2 linked regions of the Ovis aries genome follow. The protein of the gene in region 1 interacts with the protein of each later gene in a biochemical or structural test. Links are inferred from orthologs where the notes say so. Each region holds a gene or a part of one and is shown in the gene's direction. Other genes may lie near its edges.

Evidence for each region. The genes of interacting proteins can lie anywhere in the genome.
Region 2: the proteins of FZD7 (region 1) and DVL1 form a complex in vitro, tested with the Homo sapiens proteins (2 studies listed by BioGRID and IntAct, with this or other methods). The link is inferred for Ovis aries from reciprocal best matches to the Homo sapiens genes FZD7 and DVL1.

What each region holds. Positions count from the first base shown.
Region 1 is NC_056055.1:204,349,340-204,353,304, forward strand, and holds the start of FZD7 (frizzled-7), read left to right. Parts: upstream 1-1,165; 5' UTR 1,166-1,940; coding exon 1,941-3,665; 3' UTR 3,666-3,965. UniProt on the Homo sapiens protein: Receptor for Wnt proteins.
Region 2 is NC_056065.1:50,499,219-50,503,462, forward strand, and holds the start of DVL1 (segment polarity protein dishevelled homolog DVL-1), read left to right. Parts: upstream 1-1,444; 5' UTR 1,445-1,514; coding exon 1,515-1,684; intron 1,685-4,244. UniProt on the Homo sapiens protein: Participates in Wnt signaling by binding to the cytoplasmic C-terminus of frizzled family members and transducing the Wnt signal to down-stream effectors. Plays a role both in canonical and non-canonical Wnt signaling.

The sequences.
Region 1 (3,965 bases):
GGCGAAGATTTGATCGAGAACAAAAGAACGCTTGCCAATCAGAAAACGCTACCCGAGAACAAGGATAACTTCTCTTTGTGTTTTGGAAACTCTTTAATTAGCAAATGCCTTTGGTTTCTAATATGCATTAAAACTTTTCTACGCAGATTCCAAGAATCAAATCATTGCTTCCGCGACGAAGGTGGGACTCCCAAGGGCCACACGCCACGGAACTAAAGAAAATAGGCAATTAAATACTCGCTGTAAACCTGTACAGTGTTCTGGGCACTCGGCCGCAGGTTTTTTTTACAATAATTTCCCGCACTAGTTTTCTTACGATTTCACTAAAGCTATACCAAATCCCTAGACTCTGGGCCGTGCGTGCGGGCAGGGTGGCCTGAAGCCTGAGTCCCCCGCGCCCGCCGCTCGTCGGCCCTGTCCCCTTGGAGGGGTCGACACTTCCTCCTGCCTTAAGCCGGCCCCCTCTGCCCGACTCCTATTTCTCTTCAGCCTGGGCCCCTCCTCCTTTTTACAACCCGGAGAGGGGGTGAGCGGGGATTGTGGCCTCACGTGGTCTAAGTCTGCCGAGAGAAAAGCAATCCGCGAGGCGCACCCATTTCTTGCCCCATTCCGAACCCCGCATTTAGGATCCTGTCACCTAAAAGCCCCCCTCCAAATCCAGCATTTTCAGCCCAAGGAGTGCTAAACACAACTCCGGGTCGCGTTTCTCTCCGGGGAGGTGCTATTCTTATTCTCAACCTCTCCATGCAAAAGCCTTGCCCGGTGCGCCCTTCTGTTCAGGAATCTGTATTTTAGTGTACCCGGAACACTAAGGAACAAATATTTCAAGCAAATTCCCTTTCTGGTGCGCTTCTCTACCCCCTCCCCCCAGTGAATTCAGGGTAAAAGTTTTTCTTAACTTTTCCCTCCCAGCCCCCTGCCCCTCCCCTCAGGAATCCGCCCAGAGCTCCGCAGACCTAGCCTCTCTCGTTCCCTTGCCCGCCCCTTCCGACTTCCACCCAATCCGAAGACAGTCACACAGAAAACAAAGGCTGCTATTGGGCCTCCCTGGAGCTCGAGGGCCCGCCCCCGGAGTGGTTTGTGAATGGGGGGAGGGGAGGGGGCGGGGCGGTCCGGAACCCTGAGAGCCCGACGCTTCTTCTGTAGAGTTGCGCGGCTCCGAGGCGTTACTCTGCGCTCCCTCCCGGCGGGCAGCGCTCCCTCACCGCTCAGAGTTGCGCGGGGCTGGAGAGGCCAGGCCCAGGCCGCGGGCACCAGGACCTCGCAGCCTCGGACGCAGTGTGACTGGATTTCTTAAAAGAACTCGCCGAGCTCTTGGCTCCAAGACGCCGATCGGACTCAGAGCGAGAATTAGCCGTTTGGCTGAAAGTTGGAGCCAAGCTTCTGGGGCTGAAGAAGGAGCAAGGAGCGGAGAAGGAGGCGAAGGAGGAGGCGGCGGCGAGCGGAGCCTCGAGGAGAGGAGGCGGAGCAGCACCGTTGAGGCGGCGGCTTTGGCTAGCAAGCGGGGGCGCCGGGGTCTCGCCTGCCGGGGCCAGACTTAGTGTGGGGGTGCGGCGCGCGCCCTATTGAGCTCAGTGAGTCGGGAGACTTGGGCAAACTTTGAAGGGTAACCGGAGACGCTTGTTGCTCCTCGCCGCAGAAAAAGCCGCACCGTTACGTCGCATCAAGAGGAGAAGGCGGCCCCCCATCTGCGCCCCCAGCCCAGCGAGACGAGTTTGGACCCCCGGCGGCTGCGCCAGTGCTGGGCGGAGGCGGCGGCGCCCCCGTGGCGGGAGCACCCCAGCTGCAGCGCCCTCTGTTCCGCGCCGCCCACGGCCCAGCCCCGGCGCCGGGAGGACTCTCATGCGCCCGGCGCAGCGGCGCCTCCCCCGATCCCAGCCTCTCCCGGCTGCCTGGTCGCGTTTCTCGGGCTGAGAGTGCCGCTGCACCCGCGGCCGGCGATGCGGGGCTCCTGCGCGGCGGTGTCGCGCTTGCCTCTGGACCTTTGCACCCTGGCGCTGGCGCTGCTGGGCGCACTGCCCGCGGGCGCCGGGGCGCAGCCGTACCACGGAGAGAAGGGCATCTCAGTGCCAGACCACGGCTTCTGCCAGCCCATCTCCATCCCTCTGTGCACGGACATCGCCTACAACCAGACCATCTTGCCCAACCTGCTGGGTCACACGAACCAAGAGGAGGCGGGCCTCGAGGTGCACCAGTTCTACCCGCTGGTGAAGGTGCAGTGTTCTCCCGAGCTGCGGTTCTTCCTCTGCTCCATGTACGCACCCGTGTGTACGGTGCTCGACAAGGCCATCCCTCCGTGCCGCTCTCTCTGCGAGCGTGCCCGCCAGGGCTGTGAAGCACTCATGAACAAGTTCGGCTTCCAATGGCCTGAACGGCTGCGTTGCGAGAACTTCCCCGTGCACGGCGCTGGCGAGATCTGCGTGGGCCAAAACACGTCGGACGGCTCCGGGGGCGCGGGCGGCGGCCCCACCGCCTACCCTACCGCACCCTACCTGCCCGACCTGCCCTTCACCGCGCTGCCTCCGGGGGCCGCCGACGGCCGGGGCCGCTCCGCTTTCCCCTTCTCGTGCCCCCGCCAGCTCAAGGTGCCCCCCTACCTGGGCTACCGCTTCCTTGGCGAGCGCGACTGCGGCGCCCCTTGCGAGCCGGGCCGCGCTAATGGCCTTATGTACTTTAAGGAGGAGGAGAGGCGCTTCGCCCGCCTCTGGGTGGGCGTGTGGTCTGTGCTGTGCTGCGCCTCGACTCTCTTCACCGTGCTCACCTACCTAGTGGACATGCGGCGGTTCAGCTACCCGGAGCGGCCCATCATCTTCCTGTCAGGCTGCTACTTCATGGTGGCCGTGGCGCACGTGGCCGGCTTCCTGCTGGAGGACCGCGCGGTGTGCGTGGAGCGCTTCTCCGACGACGGCTACCGCACGGTGGCGCAGGGCACCAAGAAGGAGGGCTGCACCATCCTCTTCATGGTGCTCTACTTCTTCGGCATGGCCAGTTCCATCTGGTGGGTCATCTTGTCGCTCACTTGGTTCCTGGCGGCCGGCATGAAGTGGGGCCACGAGGCCATCGAGGCCAACTCGCAGTACTTCCACCTGGCCGCCTGGGCGGTGCCCGCTGTCAAGACCATCACCATCCTGGCTATGGGCCAGGTGGACGGGGACCTGCTCAGCGGGGTGTGCTACGTGGGCCTGTCCAGCGTGGACGCGCTGCGGGGCTTCGTGCTGGCGCCCCTGTTCGTCTACCTCTTCATCGGCACGTCCTTCCTGCTGGCGGGCTTCGTGTCTCTCTTCCGCATCCGCACCATCATGAAGCACGACGGCACCAAGACTGAGAAGCTGGAGAAGCTGATGGTGCGCATCGGCGTCTTCAGCGTGCTCTACACGGTGCCGGCCACCATCGTTCTGGCCTGCTACTTCTATGAGCAGGCCTTCCGCGAACACTGGGAACGCACCTGGCTCCTGCAGACTTGCAAGAGCTACGCGGTGCCCTGCCCGCCAGGCCACTTCCCGCCCATGAGCCCCGACTTTACCGTCTTCATGATCAAGTACCTGATGACCATGATCGTCGGCATCACCACTGGCTTCTGGATCTGGTCGGGCAAGACCCTGCAGTCGTGGCGCCGCTTCTACCACAGACTCAGCCACAGCAGCAAGGGGGAGACTGCGGTATGAACCCCGGCCCCTCCCCCACCCTTCCTTCCCGCCGCCGGGGGTGGGAAAGGGGCGGTAGGGAAAGAACTGCGGGGTGGGGGGACTTGTTTCTGGAACCTCCTTCCGCTCCAGTGAGAAGTCACCTGGAAATGAGAAGATATATGTAGATATATGTGGGTTGGGAAAAGAGGCCTGGGTGGAAATACGGTTTGGATGAAAAGACTTCTGGCAAAGACTTGCAGGATGATGCTGGTGATGGTAACAGTGATGTTAATCATGTGCGGTACGGGCCGCCTTGGGCCTGTCGGAAAAGATTGAGAT
Region 2 (4,244 bases), on another chromosome or scaffold:
GGGACTGTCTTCCTCCCTCCCTGAACACCCAGCAGAGAGCCATGGTGACCCTTCCTTCAAGGCCATCCTTCCTGGCTTCCTCAGATCACCTCTGGGGAAGCTGAGACCCAAGGGAAGAAGGCCCAGGCTTTGTTGAGTGGGCCAACCTCACAGAGCCCTCAGAGCCCAGGGAAATGGATGTCAACAACCCTGCCGAGGCTCACCTGAGGGTGGTCCCTGGCTTGGACTCAGGGACTTATGGAAGAACTGGCTCCTCCAGTCAGTGATGGACTAATGTGGCCTTTTTTTGCGCTGGTCCACTGAGCGAGGATGGTCCTGACCTGGCAGATGAAGAGTCCAGGATCCAAGCCAACTTCAAGGGGGGCAGCACCCGCACCACTCTCAGGCTCCACCCTAGGTCCTCTCCCATCTCACTCTCGCTAGCGTGGGCCTCCTTCTAGTGGCCTCAAGTTTTCCTCCTGGGGTCGGAGAGGGAGAGCCTCTCTCCCCAGTGGCTGGACCCTTGCCCCACGGAGGACCCCACGCAGGTTTGATGGACAGCGGCTGGGAAAAAAAAAAAAAAAACCACTCTACACCTGCTGCCGGAGGGCCGTGCCCCGCCCCTTGCGTGCGCATAGCTGCTTGCGCTGACCCTACTGTCGCGTCCACACGGGGACCCGCATAACGCTTGGCCCGTGTTTCTTGTAGCCCCCTTGCGACCTGGCAGAGGGCGCGCCAACTCGGAGCTGACGCGGGGTGGGGGTAGGGGGGCAAAGTGACAGAGTGTCATCGGTTCCGGTCCGGACACAAGAATTCTGTTTCCCACGTAGCCACTGCAGCCCGTCGGTGTTACCAAGGCGCCGCCGGACTCTGAAGAGGTGAAGGACTGGAGCCCGGCAGCGCAGAAACCCTCCGAGGGCTCCAGGCCGGGCTCGGAGCTTCCTGAGGGCCCTCACCCGCCTTCTTCCCACCGGGCGCGCCCCCGGCCGCCCACTGGCCGGGAGCCTGACCCTGTGGACTGCCCGCCAATGCGCGTGGCGAAGGCCGGGAGCGCGCGCCCCGAGCTCCAGGCCTGGACAAGGCAGGAGGCCCCGCCCCTAGCGCGCCCCGCCCCTCACCCGCGCGTGCGCAGCCCCGCCCCCACGCCGCTGACTGCCTGGTGACGTCAGGCCCGCCGCTCTCGGGCGCCCCCAGCGGCCGCTCGTAGCCGGATCCGGGGTCCCTTTAACGCGCGGCCCGAGGGGGCGGCGGCGGGGCGCACGGACGCGGCGGGCCTCGCGCCCTCCCTGCCTGCGTCCCGGGCCCGGGGCGCATGGGCGGCCGCGGGCGGCGGGGCAGCAGCCGGGGTGCGCGCGGAGTTGGGACCGGGGCCAGGGCCGGGGCTGAGGCCGGCAGGGCGGGCGGGGCCGGAGCGGTCGGGCGGGGACGCGGGGGCCTGGTCGCGGCCGGGCCGGGAGCGGCGCGCGGGCGGGGCGCGGGCCGGCAGCGGGGAGGCGCCCGCGTCCGAGACCCGGGCCGAGCCTGAGCGCCGCGCCATGGCGGAGACCAAGATCATCTATCACATGGACGAGGAGGAGACGCCGTACCTGGTCAAGCTGCCGGTGGCGCCCGAGCGCGTCACGCTGGCCGACTTCAAGAATGTGCTCAGCAACCGGCCCGTGCACGCCTACAAATTCTTCTTCAAGTCCATGGACCAGGACTTCGGGTCAGTGGGCCGTAGGGCCTGTGCGCGGGTGCGCGCGGTAGGCACCTGTCCGGCCAGGCAGGGCAGGGGATCCAGGGGCTGTGACCTGGGCGGTGTCTGCGCGCCCTGGTGCGTGTGTCTCACCTGTCTATGCTCCGAGCATGGGGCGCCTGGGCCCCTGACTGCCTGCTCCGGGATCTGAGAGCATTGGACGGTGGGCGGACCGCAGTCCTGGTTTCTCCTTTCACCCTGGGCCCTGTTCTGAGTGTGTGTGACTTGCGGTGGAGGTCCGTAGTCGAAGCGGACCTCCGAAATCCCATCTTGGCACCTGTCAGACTCAGGGTCCGCTGCCCCCCTTACGTGGAGGGCAGGTGGGATTCATGATGTTTGGGGTCAGAGGAGTTTCCAAGCGTTGGGGGGAAGGGGTTAGGGTGGGGACAGGTGCCAGCCACCCAGTGGGTCTCCTAGTTAGCACCAGGGAAATGAGGTGATCTGGGACAAGGGCGCAGATCTGTCTGCAGGGGTCTGCAGAAGTTTCTGGAGGTTTAAAACAGCATTCTTCTGGCCCCCTTCTCCAGGGTCCTCAGGACAGGGCAGGGACCAAGGGTCACTGGGCAACATGGGGCTTTATTCCACCCACCCCAGCCTCAGGGTTGCTGGCCACAGGGCCTGTGTCCCTGCTGAACTACATGCCACTTGGGTTCCTGAGAGCAGTGCAGGCCAGCTGCTAACTCGGGCAGCCTCTGGGTCAGAGTTCCCACGTCTGTCCTTAGTGGTGGCTGTCCCGGCTGAGGGGACTTCCTGCTTGTGCCGGGCTGGGCCTCTGGAACGGTGAGTGGTGAACTGGAAGCTGGCTGGACGCTCGAGCCCTGACCTAGCACAAACACGGGTAACCTGAGTCTCCCGCTCGGCAGTGCTGGGGGGGCACCCAGAGGCCGCCTGGGCTGAGCAGGTGTGCTTGGGCGCCCTTAGGCAGCCCATGCCCATGTCCTTGTCTGTGGCTGCGTCTTGGGACTTTGACATTGAGGCCATTTCCTGGATTCTGTGGTTTGCACTGGCCCTGGGCAGTCCCAGGTCAGGTTAAGCTGAGGCCACTTTGTGGCTCCCAGGGAGGCCTGAGGGACATGGGGGCAATTAGACTGTCTCATACCCTCAACACCAGGGAGAGGCAGAGAACGGGGAATGGGTCCTTGGCAGCCCCCAACCCTGCTGGGCTCAGGTTAGGAGCTGCCCCCAAGCCAGGCTTCACAGGGTAGGGCACAGACTGGGGAGCCTGGTCCTGGCCACTGGCTGCCCTCCACCCGCCTCAGCTGCTTGATCGCCTACAGTCTCACTTCTCTGAGCCTGCTCTGCTTTGGCTGTGAGCATCAGGTATGTGGAAGGGTGCTTTTGTTTTTTAACTTAGTTTATCATTTTAACAAAAATTACTGAAATCACACATGTTCTTTCACACACTGAAGGAAGTGTGTGACAAACTGAGTGCCCACCTCCCCCAGGTTGCTGCCCTTGGACCATGATCTGGGGTGCAGCCTAAGGGACCTGACCCTCCTCCTGTGTCTAATAGCCGCTGAGCTGCAGAGACCCCTGCTCCAGGTGCACTTTCAGCAGAGGCTGTACCTGCTAGAGGATTTTCAGACCCATGGGTGCCCTGGCCCAGGAGGTCAGGGTGGGCAGGCAAGATCTGGGTCTTGGAGCAAGAGTAGGAGTTCTTCAGGTTGTCTGAGCATGACTGGGATGTGAGGGAGGGAAGAAGACCAGCTGGTAGGCTGGGCTGGGACAGAGGGAGGGATTGGGGTGACTCTGGAAGGTGCAGTGGGCCTGGGCAGACAGAGCAGGGGTGGCTCATCTTATTCCCCTCCCCCACCCCCAGACCTGTGGTTGGTGGCCTGTTGCCCTCAGGGACCCTTGAAGGGGATCTGCCTCCTTCCTTCCCTCTCCTGAGATCTACCTACAGAGTTCCAGGTTCTGTTTATTCTGTAGAATCATTTACTCAGTGGAATAAATTTTCTCTGGGAGTGTCTGATTAGTCACCCACACTTTAGTATAAATGAGAGCTAGAGTCTCACGTTGGCTACCTAATGGTTATAGCTGGAGGTTGGAGAAAGGGGGGGCAGGTCCTGGCTGGGCTGGGGAAGTGGCCCCCTTATGAGAGGGGTGGCCTCAGATTGGGGACTGTGAGGTCCCTGACCCTTCTGAGGCCTCTGTTCCTAAAGTCTTACTCAGTTCTTGGCCTCTCTGGCCAGGAAGGGAAGCCTTCCTAAGTCTAAGGTGTGGCCATAGCCACTTGCTCTGGCCAGGCCCCACTCTCCATGAGCATCTTTGGCAAGTGGATAGAGAGTTCTGCACCTCCATCCCACTCTTCCCATGCAGGTCATAGCTGTGTGTCCCAGTGAAGCTGGGGAGGCTCTCAGAGCCTGTGCTGGGCTGACCCAGAGGTGCTAAGCGTTGGGGTTGGTGTGCAGCCATGCTCACAGGCTTCCACTGCCTTGCGGACTCCAGGCCTCCCTGGACTTGGCAGTGGCCCTGGGCCCTGCATCACTGGACCAGGAGCTCTGGTCTGTGGGGCCATCTGTCTGGGGGC